2 linked regions of the Schizosaccharomyces pombe genome follow. Changing the gene in region 1 together with any one later gene gives a genetic interaction. Each region holds a gene or a part of one and is shown on either strand. Other genes may lie near its edges.

What was found. Genes that interact genetically often act in the same process or in processes that back each other up.
Region 2: mutations in SPOM_SPBC1685.04 (region 1) and wdr7 together harm fitness less than expected from each alone (positive genetic interaction), as found in Schizosaccharomyces pombe (2 studies listed by BioGRID).

What each region holds. Positions count from the first base shown.
Region 1 is NC_003423.3:500,253-507,214, reverse strand, and holds SPOM_SPBC1685.04 (uncharacterized protein), read right to left. Parts: upstream 4,552-6,962; 5' UTR 4,343-4,551; coding exon 3,365-4,342; 3' UTR 3,022-3,364; downstream 1-3,021. Other genes in the region: htr11 (serine protease), read right to left, coding at 1-1,292; vma9 (V-type ATPase V0 subunit e), read right to left, coding at 5,353-5,413, 5,480-5,530, 5,819-5,910.
Region 2 is NC_003423.3:2,266,739-2,276,454, forward strand, and holds wdr7 (WDR7-like protein), read right to left. Parts: upstream 6,515-9,716; 5' UTR 6,457-6,514; intron 6,220-6,456; 5' UTR 6,039-6,219; coding exon 5,773-6,038; intron 5,693-5,772; coding exon 4,580-5,692; exon of another isoform or gene 4,537-4,579; coding exon 2,835-4,536; 3' UTR 2,830-2,834; downstream 1-2,829. Other genes in the region: imidazoleglycerol-phosphate dehydratase His5, read right to left, coding at 1-578; SPOM_SPBC16H5.14C (DHRS family dehydrogenase), read left to right, coding at 1,864-2,258, 2,310-2,440, 2,495-2,829; SPOM_SPBC16H5.12C (uncharacterized protein), read left to right, coding at 7,335-7,346, 7,401-7,563, 7,872-7,983, 8,043-9,716.

The DNA.
Region 1 (6,962 bases):
GAAGAAGCCACATATGTACCAGAATTTAAAGAAAATTGGTATGAACGAGCAAGCTGATAAGACAAATCGTGAAGCACCGCGCCTCCGACTTCCAAGAAGCGTGAAGGCGTTACGTTATGCAAGTCTTGTACAGTCAGTTGAAACGTTAAAAAACCACGTTTAGGACGATAAACATGCAGCTCAATCGTTTTACCGACCATTTCATCTAAAACTTCGAATAAAGAGACAAAATCAACAATGTATGTAGACTTATGAGAGTCTGTTTTGAAAGCAATTAATATATCGCCAGGTTCCAAAGCCTTAGAGACTTCAGAATTTCTGAGAACTCGCGAAACAACCAAAAGACCAGTACTACTAGGAACACGGGTTCTACAATCGTATTCAAATTCCCTTGGAAGGCCAATGCGACTGAGTTCGTCGTATGACCAATGTAAAAACTCGGTAAGAAGAGTACCACGAGTAATAGGAGTATTGTTCTCAATACATCGCAAAGCTCGAACAACCCGGTCCAGAGGAAGATAAAAAGAAGAGGCACTGCTGTTGGATCCTCCCGAGTTTAAAGCAACGGCGGCACCAGAGATGTCAAGAACAGGACTGCCAGAGCTGCCTCCACTAGTTCCACTAGCTGCCTGATAATAAAATGTATTAAAATCGTTGTAGTTGTCAATTCCGTAGTTTGGAGCTGGACGATCAAGACGAGCCAAAGTGGAGCTTAAAATAGACAATTTTTCACCAGCATCGTTACCAATAATTCGAATATCTATACCTACCTTGGCTGATTCAGGGGAAAGTGAAATTTCAGTGACATCGTGGAATCGAATGGAAGATGGATCATAACGAAAGAAGCCAAAGTCATGAACAGGATCTCTGTAGATGGGATAAATATCAATTTCTTCATAGTTTATGAAAGAGGCACGAGCTGAAATGGGTCCTGGAGAAACAACGTGTCTGTTGGATAAGATAAGACCAAGTGTTTTATTCACGACAAAGCCAGTTGCGCAAAAACTACCGGCGCTTTCAGTATCAAAAGAGCGTAATGCGGAGCCTTTAATGGAAACGATACTTCGAACAACATTTTTAATCGTATTATCCCATGTATGGTGAATCTCTTTGGTATCTAGATAACGTTCTTCATCTGTATTGCGAATGGGAAATGGTTCGCTAACATTGTATAAACCTTCAGCAATAACATTCTGTTGCTGGGGCGTATTACATTCAGAAGTAATTTTATCAGGACGAAATTTGGGTAGGAAAATGTGATTAGGCCGATAATCGGAGGAAACTGGAGTCATGATGAAAGGTAGAAACCGACAAGAATGTAAACAAAAGCACAAGATACAGAAATTTATAACAAACACAAAGAAAAAGCGGTTGAACACTAGGTATACTTTTGAATCTCGATAGTGTTTAACAGGCTTTGCTTTGTAAACTGGACAAGCTTTAATTGGAAGAATAAACGAATTTAAATAACAAATGAAAGTTTATAATAACTTTTGGGCAACACAAGCAAAGTTCTAAACGAGCCGCGAAATACTAATTATCAAGGCCAAATAAAACTCGAAAAGTCAATCAAGTACTGACACTTGTAAGCCTTTTTTGTAGGATAAATGGAGAACACTATATAGCGACAAAGATCTGTTTTCAGTTATACAAACATACAACAATGTCTGTTTGCAAGGAATTACAAATCAATTGCGCAATGGCTATCAGATGGATATATGAAGGAATTCCTATATAGAAATCTCAGTATCCTTAATTTGACTACTCAAGCAATAAGATAATTTACCTGAAACAGTTATAATATATTTAGTAAATCAAATATTTTGACAATCTGCTTCACTTTACTGACACACCAATGGCAAGATAACGATAATAATTGCAGACGGTGGCTTGAATAGTTTGCAGAAATCCTTTCCAATTCAGAGATAAGAAAAGATTAGCCTTTATATCTTTTTTTTTAATTAATCAAACGAAAATGACAGGAGTAACGACAAGTAGAAACAAAATACACACACAAAAACGAAACAATAAAATAAGTAATCAAGTGTATGAATGAGAAATTTTAAATCTTGTAAGCCGTAAAAAAAACGAAAAGATTTTAAAAATTCCCAAACTCCACTGTATGGACAAAAACGAAGCGAAAAGAGAATGGGATTTGCAAGAATAGTTTTGATAAGGTCAGTAGCAATCGGGGAATGCTATGATAATAAGCGTAGAACAATGATCTCCCTTTCTTTTCTTTTGCAGATAAGCTCGATCCTGAATTTTAAACTACGCAGTTAAAAGTAATATTTGCGATATGATGTCTAAATTTCGCTATTGGAAGATTCTTGTTTCATTCGTTTTGCCCATCGGCAACGCGGGCTTTCAATTCAATATATATGTAGGTGAACGATGTTTGCTGTAATAGTTAACTTCACTAGCGTCTCATACCACCAGCAGACAAAGTGCGTGGCAAGCCGTTTGATCAACAATTCTATTGCTCGATGATTTTTAAGAGTGATGTCAAAGTCCGAGTGCGGCAAAAATAAGACAGCGTAGCTTTAGAAGTGATTTCGATGAATTTCACTCAAACGGAGGATTGCGACGAACAAGGAGCCGCAATGTCGTTTGTTCAAAATCGGATTTCTTGGTTCCGTGACATTTTGCAAATAAGCTAGAATCCATCTTCATACGACTGTGTCGTATTGAATGGAAATGGAAAACTGAAAGAATGGGTTCGAAATGGAAAACGACATTCTGAGGATGTTTGACAGAATCGGTTATGTGAACCGAAAGTGAATGTACGTGGTATTAGCGTAGAATTGTTTGAAAACTAAAATGGTGTTACTTTTTGAAAACTGTTTCGTTTGTAGTAGGTTGATGGTTGAACAAGACAAAACAAAGATTATTAAGGTAGCTTTAGATTCAGGGATGTTTATTATGACAGTGTTTGATTTGGGTAGGAGATTGACAGTTTAAGTATGGAAATAGGCATTCAATAGCATATTTGAATTGAATCACTAATGAACTCGACTCGCATTACTTTAACATTTTGTCATTTGTTGTGTAGAAGAGAGTTTGAGAAGACAAATCAAAGATGATCAAAGTTGGTGTTATTAAATAAATATCATGCCGAAAATACAGCTGAAATAAATATTATATACGATTTTAACGATGTGGTGCTAGATGAGGCTGAAAATCTGGAGGTAAAATCATGTATGAAATATATATTTCTCCACAATTAACAGGTATCTTGAAGCCGTGCAGGGTAAAAGTAGTAAGGCTGTCGGTCAACACGCCAAGGAATGCATTGTGCCATTGAATGACCATATTTTAATATTAGAAGGTTGTATTGATAGTATACGGAATGAAAATTAAATTATTAGGAAGAAACGGGAGTCGAGGTTATCGCAGTAAGCATATTCTCAAAATATACAATTTCGAGCTCTAAACAAACAATGATTGGCTTCCATGTATTGGAGTCAGCAATCTGTCTCGCCGACTCCAAAGAGTGAAGAGTCGAGGTCAAGAGTGATAATACACTAGTGCGCTGAACGTCAGTTAATGGAGGCAAAGCAGCTTCTGATAAAGAAGTAGGCCCCAGTATTGAGATTAGTTTTGTTTCGACAGCTTGGATTTGATGGATCAAACGTTGGAAGAATTGCATTCCTGGAAGTGCTTGCCCGACCATTAGTCGCAAAAGATCTTCTCTTTTCTTCAATACTTCCATCCGTTTTTCAAGGGAAGATACATTAGCATGTGCATCATACTGCTCCTGCAGAGTTAAAAGGCGATCTTCCATACTGAGTGCCTTTTTCTTTTCTAGATTATCATAAGTCTGGAGTCGTTTTACAAGGGTGTTTCGTTGGTTCGTTACAATCGCCAACTTTTCCTGCAAAATTTGAATTTCCTCATCTAAATGTGTAATGCTTGTCTTTAGATTCGATATTTCTTCCGCTTTGTGCACCTCTGCCAGACTTGCTTTGGTCGATTCAATTTGGGATAAAATGTCTGTCTGCGAGTCCCAACGGCTCTTCAATTTCCTTTGCTGGCTCCTATATAAATCAGCGTTTTCTTGACAAGCTTGACACCATAACTGCAACTGCTCAGCGATGGCTTTTCGAATCCTGGTCAAGTCGTTGGGCTGTTTAGATTGAAACAACACTTCAGCCAGCTCATCCAAAAGCGATTGTATTTTCCTTTCCACTTTTGGAAAGGAGCCACTTTCTTCCATATTGTCAAAAAGCTCTAAGCTACGCGTTCTTGTCGATAAGCCAGAAGAAGAGGTACCTTCATCATTCAGCATCCCTTCATTAGACTTGTTTGGGAATTCGTCTAGCGGAATATATTCTTGTTTCATTTTAAAAAGGTATAATACACGAAAAATCTAGTAAATGCGTAAATTTGGTAAGTTCAACCCTTTTTTCTTCATAACAGAAAATTATATCGCATTCAACATCACTAGTGTAAGTTTTTCGCTTTTTTTATATACGAATCTTTATTTTTTCAGTCTTCCTATCTTTTCAAGAAACCAATCCGTTCAAAATCACACTGTAAAATGTATTTCTTAACTATCAGTGTGTGCAAATGTCTATGTGCTATAGTGGAACAATGTTGAATAGTCGCGAACTTGTGTTTATGAAGCCAGTAGACCTTTAATAACAATTCAGACTTTCTCTATCTCAAATATTTTTTTTAGTCAACTAAAATTGCGTATTAGGAGCGCCACTACTATCATGAACTTCAGTCCAAATATTAAACTAAACTTACAACATCTTAGAGTTTTTGGCACCAAAAAAACTTTTGAATATCCTGTTGTGTCTATTATTTCAATTTTTTATTGTATTTCTATATGATTCAGTATATTTGTAGCAAGGCTTTTGATAACGTAAATATACGTCGCCTTTCATACACACATCCGAGTAAAAGAAAAAGCGACAACCAAAAGACGGGGAGACCAATAAATCTAGTAAAATCAAAGAAAAGAAATAATGAAGGTATATCCTTTCGCAAAGATTAAATGCAATGTTGAAATCCACGTGAACCGACCTTTAAATAACGCCAGGTTCCAGCCATGACTTAACTGACTCCATATATATATTAAAATAAGAAACGTTTAAAGATATGGATTATAAAAATAAGAAATACTCAAACGTGTTTGATTTGTAATAATAATCGACAAACACCAATAGGATTTTAGAGACTAGAAAGTTGAGCCCGACGATCAGAAACGAATAGTATCAAAAAATAGGAAGAGGAAAAGGTTCAAAAGTAGATTCTAATTGGAAAGCTTGCAGTCTAAACGATAAGTAAAATAAAAGAGGAAGAATGTACAAACATTAAAAATCACTATGATTATACTAAACTTCATTACTCAAGAACTCGAGATGGAGCCTCTAATGGATGCAACTGTGCTAAATAAGTAATTGCCCTAAGAACGATGTTAGTAAAAAAGAAAAACAATATGGATGCATAAGAACACCACAAATGCACTAACCATAATAAATAGCAACAAGAAAAAGTAAGAATTAATGACATCTGCCAAGTACTAATTGAGAGTTAATAAAACTTTTGTTAAAGGAAGGAGTATGAAAATATAATACAAGCAACTGATCCCAATTCCAGATTGTCCATGTGCAGCTGAAGACAAGGCCTAAACAGCGCTACCTTGATTGGTTGCAAGAAAGACAATCACATATACTTTTCCATATCTCTAAACGAAAATGAAACGAAGTAAAAACAAGCTACTGATCATAACACAAGACTTTAAATGGGAACATAATTGCTATACCTCGATATATAGATGATTCACTCCAATCAGTAGCAAACTTCTTACCTAGTATTATTTCCCTTGGGCGAGACATAGTAAGAAACTACACTCATTAAGGCCGTCAAAAGGCCGACAAGTAAAACAACGAGACCACCCATTAGAATGCAAATTACCTACTTTCAATAAATGTAACTTGCACGTTAATGGTAAATTATCGAATGTGCGTCTCACATGAACATATACTGCAAATTAGTGACACCACGCATAGATAACGTAAACATAAATCAGGTAACAATAATCATACAAAGGCATTAAAAAAATGCTTAACATAGCCTTCCAGTTATATGAATACGATCCTTGAATAAAAAAATGCTCTTTAATGCTAGCGGACATCATAAAGACACCCTTCCTCCATTTTTTCTTATGAATTCTATTTATGGTAACCCTCAATCCATTACGTTAAACTAAATATTTAACAAATTTACATTACCGTGTTTACTATAACGCATCAGTGTCAGGCTCCCAAAAATTCTGTACTTTCCAGATTCTTTGAATACTATTATGGACTGGTTAGTTTCAAAAGAGATTGTATTAATTATTTTCTTAACTTCAAGTAGTACTCGGAAATCATTCTTCTCACTAGTTTATAAAACCACCGAGCACTTATGCAGAGAGTAAACTAACACATCCAATAATTACATCCACATGCTTAATGCTTTCTTATTGTACTTAACTTTCTTTTCATAACATAAACTTTTTAAATCACCAATTACACTTTTAAAATTCGTCTGATTACCTGCGCCGTAGAAGCGATGAACATAAAATGCTTTGTGTAGCTTCATAGTTATATCCTTTTGTGTAATATTATAATATTTTTACATTGCAAAAATGCAAAATAATAAAAAGAATTGAAAAATAAATAATTTCACCAGTAGTAAATGTCATCTATTTTTTCCTAATGAAATCAAAAATGACATTAAATTGAGAAATCATACATTTAACGTAAAAGAATTATTAATGCTAAGCTGATGAGAGCTTAAACATAGTTTCGCCAACTATTCATCAGTTTGCTATCACTAAGGTAAACATGAAGAGAAGCAAGAGTAATCAACGTTCATTGTTGCATTCATGAGCAACAAGCAAAAGGAATCTCATTATATAAATTCCCTTTTTCTTTTTTCTCTCTTTTGAAACTTATAAACTCGGTAAA
Region 2 (9,716 bases), 1.8 Mb from region 1:
AGAGATTTAAAAGCGCTTTCAGCACGATGATGGTCATTACTACCATATAAGCAGGTAACATGCAAAGTAATTCCAGCTGCTACCGAAAAGGAATATAGTAAGTGAGGGATCATTTCACAGGACAATTCCCCAACCTTTTCACGCTTTAATCCCAAATCGATAACAGCATAGGGCCGTCCCGACAAGTCAACTACGCTTCTAGAAAGAGCTTCGTCAAGTGGACAATAAGCATGTCCAAATCTTTTAACGCCGGCAAAGTTACCCATAGCCTGCTTGAATGCAATACCAAGTGCAATAGCAGTATCTTCTGCAGTGTGATGATCATCGATGATTAAATCACCTCTTGAGTAAAGTCGTAAGCTCCAGCCTGCATGTTTAGCCAGTGCATGATACATGTGATCCAAGAATCCAATTCCCGTGTCTACTTGGATTACTTGTTCTCCCTTTTGGTTTGCATGCTTGGAAGTTATAAGTTCATCAATAAAATTCGACTCTTCAGGTAAGGGAGCTTTGTCCAAAGCGATGGCAACGCTGATTTTCGTTTCGTTCGTATTTCTTTCTACAAAAGCCCTCCTCATCGTGATGCAAAACTACTCTTTTCAATTAGATCAACCGAGAATTACAGGAATTTATGGAAAACTTCCTTATTAAAAAATGACAAATAGTTCGGTGTCGTGAAATTGCAAGCCTTTTCACCCAAAAGATTTTTGCTAGATATTAGACTACCGCTATATCCAGCAAGCCAATTACAGGTACGGTAATTATTCGATAAAGCAAGTCAACACCCCATACACAAGATATCCTTAAACGAGGTGAACGATGTTTGTTAAAAATTCGCTGAAATTGGTTATTCATATTCAACGATATAAATGAGTTCAATGTCTTATTGTAAATAGCGTATTTAATTAACATGATATTAACTTTTCCTTAGCTTTAACTACGCAGTTTTGTATGGGAATGTAACGTCCGTTAGTGCACTGGAAAAAAAGTTATCTATAGATTAAACTATGGCTTTTTTATTAGGCATATAAAAAGTAATAATGAAATACATTTTAAAAACTTGTAAAATCTGCAACATCGAATTGAGGACCCGTAAAACTAATGAGCTGACCCTTTTGCACTTTATTTACTTTGTACGTAGATGCCTGAAAATTCCAACTGCGGGTTACCAAATGCAAAATACAACATCAACATGCGTTGGGATCATTTAATAAACATTAATTAATAGCATAGTTGAATGCAATGATATTTACTAACATACATATGTTCCTTTGATCTATATGCAACATAGAAAACTGAGCACGCTCAAACTTTCAAATATTTTAAAAACAACTAGTCGAAGATGAAGGGAAGGTATAGTGTGTACTATGTTTCAATATATAAGGAAATTGAAGACGCAATTCTTAATCGCATTTTTTAATGCTTCTTTTTATGATAGGCGTAATATTTTAAAAAAAAAACCATCACTTATCTTTGACTCTATAAGACTAATCAAGTTAAGATCAGGATGGGCATTCCATTTTTCGTAGTACGGATTGAATAATTTAGTTAACAAGTTCAATACAACATTGGCGATACTGATCAAAACTTTATTATATAAGTTTATAAAAGCAGTGTTCAACGATTTAATGAATTATTCTACTACGCGTGATTTTTGCTTACACTAGGAAATAGCTTTTGTTTGGCAGCATCTACTAAGGTTCTCTCCTTGACTTCGTCAAATACGATATTAGGGTCTTTAGACGATCAGAACTTGGACGTTAACTTATTCGAAACACAAAAGAGTTCGCTGCTAATGTTAACGACTTTCTGCCAAGTTTCCATTCAGCAACTTATCATATTTTTCACAGAAGTCATTCCCTGATGTTGAATCATATATTATTATTGGTGATTTCGCTTGTTTGTGCTGCCTTAACCCTTTCTTGGTTTCCTCTACTTTTCAGGAAACAATCCTATTCATGTGCTAAAGGACTGATTGTGATAACAGGAGGAAGTGGGATTCTTGGTCATGCTATTATTCAAGAGGCGTTGGATAGAGGCTTCAGCGTCGCCTCTTTGGACAGTACTGAGCCTGCATCTTTTCTACAGTACAATTCTAAATTTAGTGCTTTGAAATGTAATATTACCAAAGATAAGGACGTAGAAGGATGTGTCCATTCTTTGAAAAAGATGAACAGGACCCCTTTTGCTCTGATCAATGCTGCAGCTATTGCTCCAAAAAATCATTTGCTGTCTATATCAAGACAAGAATTACAAAAGTAAGTACAGGTTAAGCGTAGTAAGCCTTATTTTCTAACTGCTTAATTTAGATGCTTTGAAACAAATGTGATCGGACAGCTGGCAATTACATCTGCATTATTTCCTCTCCTTTTACAAGATCCAAATCCTCATGTGGTCAACATAGCATCCTCCTTGGCTTATTTTAGTGCGATGGGAGTCGGTAAGTGGGGTTGATTTTATAAAATTTGCTTTTCCTTTCTAACGTGATTAACAGGTGCCTATTCATCTTCAAAAGCGGCACTAGTTTCGCTACATGAAACATTAGAGGAAGAGGTTTTATCACAGCATCCCAACTTCAAGTTTTCTCTTTATGTTTTAGGGCAAATTAAATCTACAATGTTCGAAAAAGATACCCCAAACAGAGTATTAGCCCCTCTACTAGAACCTCAAAACTTAGCAAAAATTATTATTCAAAACTTATATACAAACAAATCGGGTCGTTTTTACTATCCATTTTACGCACGTTTTATGCCTCTACTGAGGTTTTTCCCACTTCCAATACAAAAATTGGCTCGTCTATTTAGTGGCATGGATAAAATTTATTCATAATCCACCTACAAGTCAATGATAGCAAAGGTGCTCCCAATATGGACTTCTGCTGATGACTGGCTAATCCATAGGACTTCAGGAATTTCAACCTCATTCGTTTTGTTAGTTTGTAATAATATACGTTTTCGGATCGTTAATGAAGGTGTTGATAAGTTCAAGAATTTTACGAAATCTTGGCTGTATTTCCAAATAATGCATTCCTTTTGCGTAGCACTGACTCCAACAAAATAGTCACCAGAAGGACTGGCGGACAATACCTGAATATCACATTCGGCGTTTTCCTTGCTGACGACTTTCCTTCTTTTAGCTATTTCATAAACCACAAGATCACCATCGTCAATGTAGGAATATTTTTCCACCTTACTATCAAAACATGCAAATGGAAATTGGGTTGCAATTGCGTTAGTAACGTCGTGAACTTCTTCAACCGAGCGGCTAGAGTAAAGGATTGGAAGTAATTTTTCCGTGATCAATTGATTAAATAAAGAAAATTCGGATTGTGTGTTTTCAATTGCCAAAGACACAACTTTTAGTATAACGGAACGTAAATTTGATTTCATTTGCTCATAAACTTCATCGCATAAACATGTAAGCAGTAAAACAGCATTCGAAACTGAGACATCCACTATTGATCTATAGAGAATGCTATTTTTATCATCCAAATCCTTAGTATTCTCTAAGGATGACAAAACCAGGTTGTATATAAACTTTGCAGGATCAATATGTTTTGAAAACACGGAAAAACCATTACTCAACAGGCGAATTGCTGTTAAGTCATAGTCCATACTTTCGGATTTTTGTAATAAATAGGAAGACAAAAATTTCAATTGTGAAACATCAAATGCTGAAGGCCGTAAACTGACAATTAATGACAAGATGTACAGTGAATGTTGCACCTCCTTTTTCAGATAGTACTCTCCACCTGTAGTCGTAAAAAACTCAAAATAATAATATATAAGCCTCTGAAGTTCCTCTGGAGATATAAGTTCCAATGTTCTCGACAACATTGATTTAATTATACCCTGCATAACCTTGCCTGAATTATTCCAGACGTATGAAAGAACGGAAATACTGTAATCAACCGTTTTCAGGTCTTTTAACTTTAATAATATTCCTTCAGTCAATTTGGTATCGCTCAGCCCATCATATTTACATAAAGGAACCATTAGAGAAAAATATAGATATAACAGCAAAGCGGAACAATTTGGTGCAGTATTTATTATTGACTTCATTTCGGTGTCAAATCGAAGTATGGCATTTCCATCTGGCTTACCCACACCAAGATGCAAACTGGATTGATCAAAAACAGTACCTAACAACTGATGCTCCATCTCTATATCAGAGTTTAGGAAAGGAGGTTGGATAAAGTCAAGGAACTCGTCAATATACGTTTTTTCTATGTAATTTTCATTAGAAAAATTGAGGTTCAGTACTAAATCATGAGCGTCTAAAAAAACAGTAACCAAATTATCGGTGAGTAAAGCACAAGAACCATGATACAAAGTAGGGAGGTTAGATTTATCAAAAGTACCAATAGATATGAACGAAGAGTCAATAATATCTGAATAATTTCCTTCAGAACATTTTTGATCCACAACGTCCCAATTTAATAGTTGAAAATTGTCATAAGCAACATAGATTTGATCTAAATCGGGAAATGAGTACAAAGTTTCAACTTGAGCACCATCAGATGGCAAGTAGCTTAGACTATAAAAGTCGATTAATAACTGATAACACACTGATAACTTACAGATTATAAGATTCATCCAAGGCACACAATGAGCCATCTAAACTCATAAAAATAAATAAGCCTGATGAACCAGAAGATAATGATTTCTTTGCATGAATAATTTTAGTAATTGAAGAAGATTGCAAAGCACGCTCGCAGAGAAATCTCCATCTTTCACCCTGAAGTTGTTGATAAAAGTAAGCCTTTCCAGTTTTGGTAGCAACAACTAAAATTGAGCGTGAATGTTCAGTTTCAAATATTTTCATATATGTTACAATTCCAGAAACCCTTGTAAAAGAGTAAAGAGGAGCTGGATCATTGTGAAGGTACCAGTCAAACAAAGAAAACATCACTAAACCAGAGGTTGTTCCAAGGAATAAATTAAGAGAGTCCGTATAAGCGTAGGAAACAGCAGCTGTATTGCTCAACTTACAAAGATTGCATGAGTCTACGGTTCCTTCTGTTAACCAATTGAAAGTTATTTTTTCGGGATAAACACACAAACTAACGGGTTTACTTTTTAAAATGGTGCACGATTTCCATGGAAAATCTCCAGAATACTTAGAAATTAATTCGAAATGAGGTTCAGGAGATTGATGAAGTTTGAGTAAAGTTGAAGACGAAAGAGTAAAAATACAAGCCGTGCCATCAGCCAAAACAAATACAGATGTTATCTCTGCAAGTGAATATGAAGCTATAAATTTCTCATGCGATTCCAATAGTACTACCGCATCCGAGTATACATATAGCGCATAATTGGAAGAAATGCAATCTGCTGGTACAACATCAATAACCTTACCAAAAGTTGGTTTAACATCTGCTTTTGTAACTGAATTTCTTTTAAAAGTAAGAGCTGACCAATCAACTGACCAAAGAGATACAGATCCATCTGAATAGGCGACAGGGATTAATAAAGCTTCGTCTTTGAACGGAAACAAAATAGGCCAGTCCTCATGACCAGTCCAAGTCGCAACTATCTGAAAGTTGGAGATTCTAATGAGATATATTTTCAAAAAGGTTCCGGTAACAGCAAGAAAGTTGTTATTTAATCTAAATAGCTTTAAACATAGCCCGTCACACAATTGCAAAGTAGCTCGTCGGTCACATGTTTTCAGTAGCCATTGACAAAGTAATCTGAGAAAATGTTAGCAAGAAATAAGTTAAATAATGAATTTGATAATTGCTGCTCGGCTAATGAGAGTTGCTCAACATACCCAGATTCGTCGAGTGTAATGATTGATAGGTCTACAATTCCATCAGCTTCAAATGGAAGGCAAACTATAGAAGAAACGGAATGTTTGTGTGCTATAAATGTTTGGATCAAAGTGAAATGATTGTCTGTAGAAACGTCAAATACCATGACTTGGCCGGAACATTGGCCTACTATCAAATACTGATCAAAACAATGTATTGAAGACACGTCAAGGCCTTCATCTAACAAATGAGTTTTACAGCTTTTCGACAATGCAACCCAATCCATTTTGATTCGCAATCAACAACGGTCTAAGGCTGACATCAATTTTGAACGCTGTTCGAACACGGCTTCCCAAATAACCACTCAATTCAGTAATTGTTAAACCTTTTTAAATATAAAAGTAATTGAAAACGCAGAAAATGAAATTAAAACAATATTTAGGCAGACTAACAGTTGCCGCGATATTCTTGAATGTAAAATTAGCAAATTCGGAACGCAAACGAATAAACAAGATGCAACAAGTATTTGAGGAAGAGAATCTAAGAAAAATGAAGAACTTGCAACAGCCATAGACAAGAATGTCTAACAAATAGCCATGTAAACAATTCGTCCATCCGTCATTTAATAGAATGTATGCATCGACAGCTCCGATTGTATCAATCATTACATAAATCTCTTCATTCTTGAATTATATACAACTTACACTTCTCCAAAATTTATACCACTGCACACAACTTCGAATTCCACTCGGTGGTGGGAATGTGCTGCTGTGCTACTTGAAGCACGCGAATACTATATGACCTAGTTGATGGGGCGATGCCCTTGCTTCCAAATCTTGACAATACTTAGTAGTAAGAATACAGCGTACAAACGAGTTTAAGTTATAGTAAACGAGCATTATTTAATAACACAAAAGAGTATTGTTGTACATAGAAAAAAACCGAAAAAATTGCTAACAGTCTTATTTTATTCAATTTGCCAAATAAACAGAACATTTACATACTTCAAATGTTGTAAATTTCGCACTGCAACTAGTATTCAAATCTCAACCTGGAAAAACGATATAACGAAATTGAAATATACTTCAGACTGTAGCATCATCTACTGTACACGAGGCAAACTTAAGTCATAGTATGTGTAAAATAAGTTAACAATTCCATTCCAAAGCTGCAACATTTAACATATACCCTAATAAACTCTGCCGTCCCGATTACCGAGCTTTCTCAAGAATTTTGTAATCCTTCATTGAAGCACCTTTTTTTTTCATATTTATATATAAATATATATATTAATATATACTAAATTTTATTTTTATTTTTATTTTTTGTGGAGTTTTATACTACAGAAATACAATTGTCACGTTAAAAATTTCAAAAACTATCTATTAACTGCTGCTTTTTGTGTATTTATATATTTAATTTACTTTACTTCGTTTGTGGTGGATCTAAGTTATAACATTACGAAGCAACATTCTCTTATTGTAGTAGGAAGTAGTACAGTGCCGAAACTGAGGCATCATCACAAAACCCTTACTCAACACCATTTACTGTTTTATCCGTTTCATTAGATTTTTACGATATAATGAGCGTGGATGTAAGTATAGATCTAATGAATCTTTGCAAAAATTTTAAACTAATTACATAAAAGACGGCTAAAAGTGATATTCAAGCGGAACCTTCAACTGGGACGCTGGAAAATAAATCCTCTAAAACGTACTCAGATTCCGAGAATAATTCCACGTTGGATGTTTCAGCTCAAGTACTCACATTGGATAATAAATCCAGGATCTTATGTATTGCCGATGTTCGAGGTAAGTATGCGTTGTTTATGGATTTAGAGCTGCCAGCGAGAATTCAAAAGCACCCCATCGGGGGAATTATCGACGATCGTTTTACTTTTTAAGATAAGAAGATGCGAATTTGTATGCTTTTGCATGAACTTATCCATAATGGCTTAGCAGGAGTTGAAGCGCAATTGCTCAATTTACTCATTTTGTCATTAAAGATCCTCGTTGGTTCGTAAAAGAATTTTGTCCATACACTTTATTCTCCTTAGCTATTCCTATCCTTAAAATTACTACTCTTTAATACGCGTTTTTACTAATAACTATCCCTTCAGGTGAACTGAGTTTAATAAATAGCCTGGTTGAGGAAACCAATGCCTCCTGTGTCATCCACACTGGTGACTTTGGATTTTTTGAGCGATCCTCACTTCCTAGCATATCTGAACGGTATGTTTTGTGTCAAAAATTTTTATGTTTCATTTTTCTTTGTTCTAACCTTTTTTCAGTACTCTTCGTCACATTGTCCAATTCTCGCCTCTCATAAAAAAGCTTCCTAGGTCCAAAAACTTTGATTATTATCCCTCGAATCCAATTGGGGATTTGAAGAATAGTATTGCTTCTCACCCCGATTGCCTGCTTTCAGAATTACCTCAATTTTTGTCACAAGAGAAGAAATTCTCAGTCCCTGTATATGTAGTATGGGGAGCTTGCGAAGATGTGCACGTTTTGGAAAAATTTCGTTCTGGAGAATATTCTATTCCAAACCTTAACATAGTGGACGAACTTCATTCCTACCTATTGCAAATTGGAGATATGAAAATCCGTTTACTTGGTCTTGGAGGTCCTTATGTCCCTTTTAAGCTTTTTGACAATGGAGACGGTAAAGGAACTATTGCTGGTGGCCAGGGTACTATGTGGACTACAATCCTTCAAATGGGTGAACTAATAGAAACCGCTAAGAGCCTGCTTGACAGAGAGGAGGCACGTATTTTTATTACGCATCATCCCATTGGAAGAGAAGGTGTTCTTTCTCAATTAGCTACTGCTTGCCAGGCTGACCTGACTTTATCCGCCGGTCTTCATTTTCGTTATGGAGCTAGCTACAATGAGTTTTGCGTAAATCATAGTCCTGAACATTATCTTCAAAAACTTTCGGCTGCCCGTGCACAGTTTATGGAAGTGTATGACACTGTTAAGGCTGAGGTTGAGAAGATGGTTACCCCTGAACAACATCATCTAATAAACAATGTTGTTCGCCTAGTCTCTCGCATGCCCGATGCAACTAACTCATATGCTATGAATAACATGCTTCCCGGCACTGCTTTTAAAAACCTATGGAACTTCAATTTATTAGATGCTTCCTTTGGATGGACTGTTTTTGTCGTCGAAAATGGGCATGTTCAAGTGGAAAGCAAATCTCATGGCTTTAATTTAGGCTATCGTCGCATGGCTTCACGTCGTAACGAAAATTATGCATCTCACATTCCACGCTCAACTTCGGAAAATACCGGTACCTATTATTACGCTAACAATAGGTTGGTGGAATCTCAAGCACAGTTTACCAAGAACAGAGAAGCTACGGCTACACCAACCGAAGAAGAACAGATTGAAGGGTACGATCAGGAACATACTGATGAGCTAGGAATGTCAAGAGCGAATACTACAGAAGAGTCGGCTGAGACTCATGAAGTAATCGAAGAGAAGTCGGGACCACCTGCTGCCGAGGAAGAACCCATTTCTGGCGTAGCAGAGAAGCCTAGTCCTAATGAAGAAGAACAACCAGCAATTGGAGGGAAAGAGGAAGTTGACGTTGAAGAGGTGACTAAGGGTACTGGAAATCTCGAGCTAGGTGAGACGACTACAGAGGTTACCATACTTGAACAAGAGAATGCTGCAAATGTTACAAGATCTCAAGCACAAGAAGGTAGAAGAACTGATATGCAGAAGGGCAACGATCGTGAATTCCGTCAATATAGTGGTGAGCAGCGTTATGAACGTTGTGGATTTCATATTACCCCTTGCAATTCTGAAGAGGAAGCCCGTTCTTACTTTAAGGACGGGACAGACAGCCTGATTACGAATATTCAAATTCGTACTTCACTCAATCGTTACAAAAGTCCCCAAGCTCCTCAAAACGTAAACCCCACTAACTATGCATATGTATTTGTTGAAAACCAGAA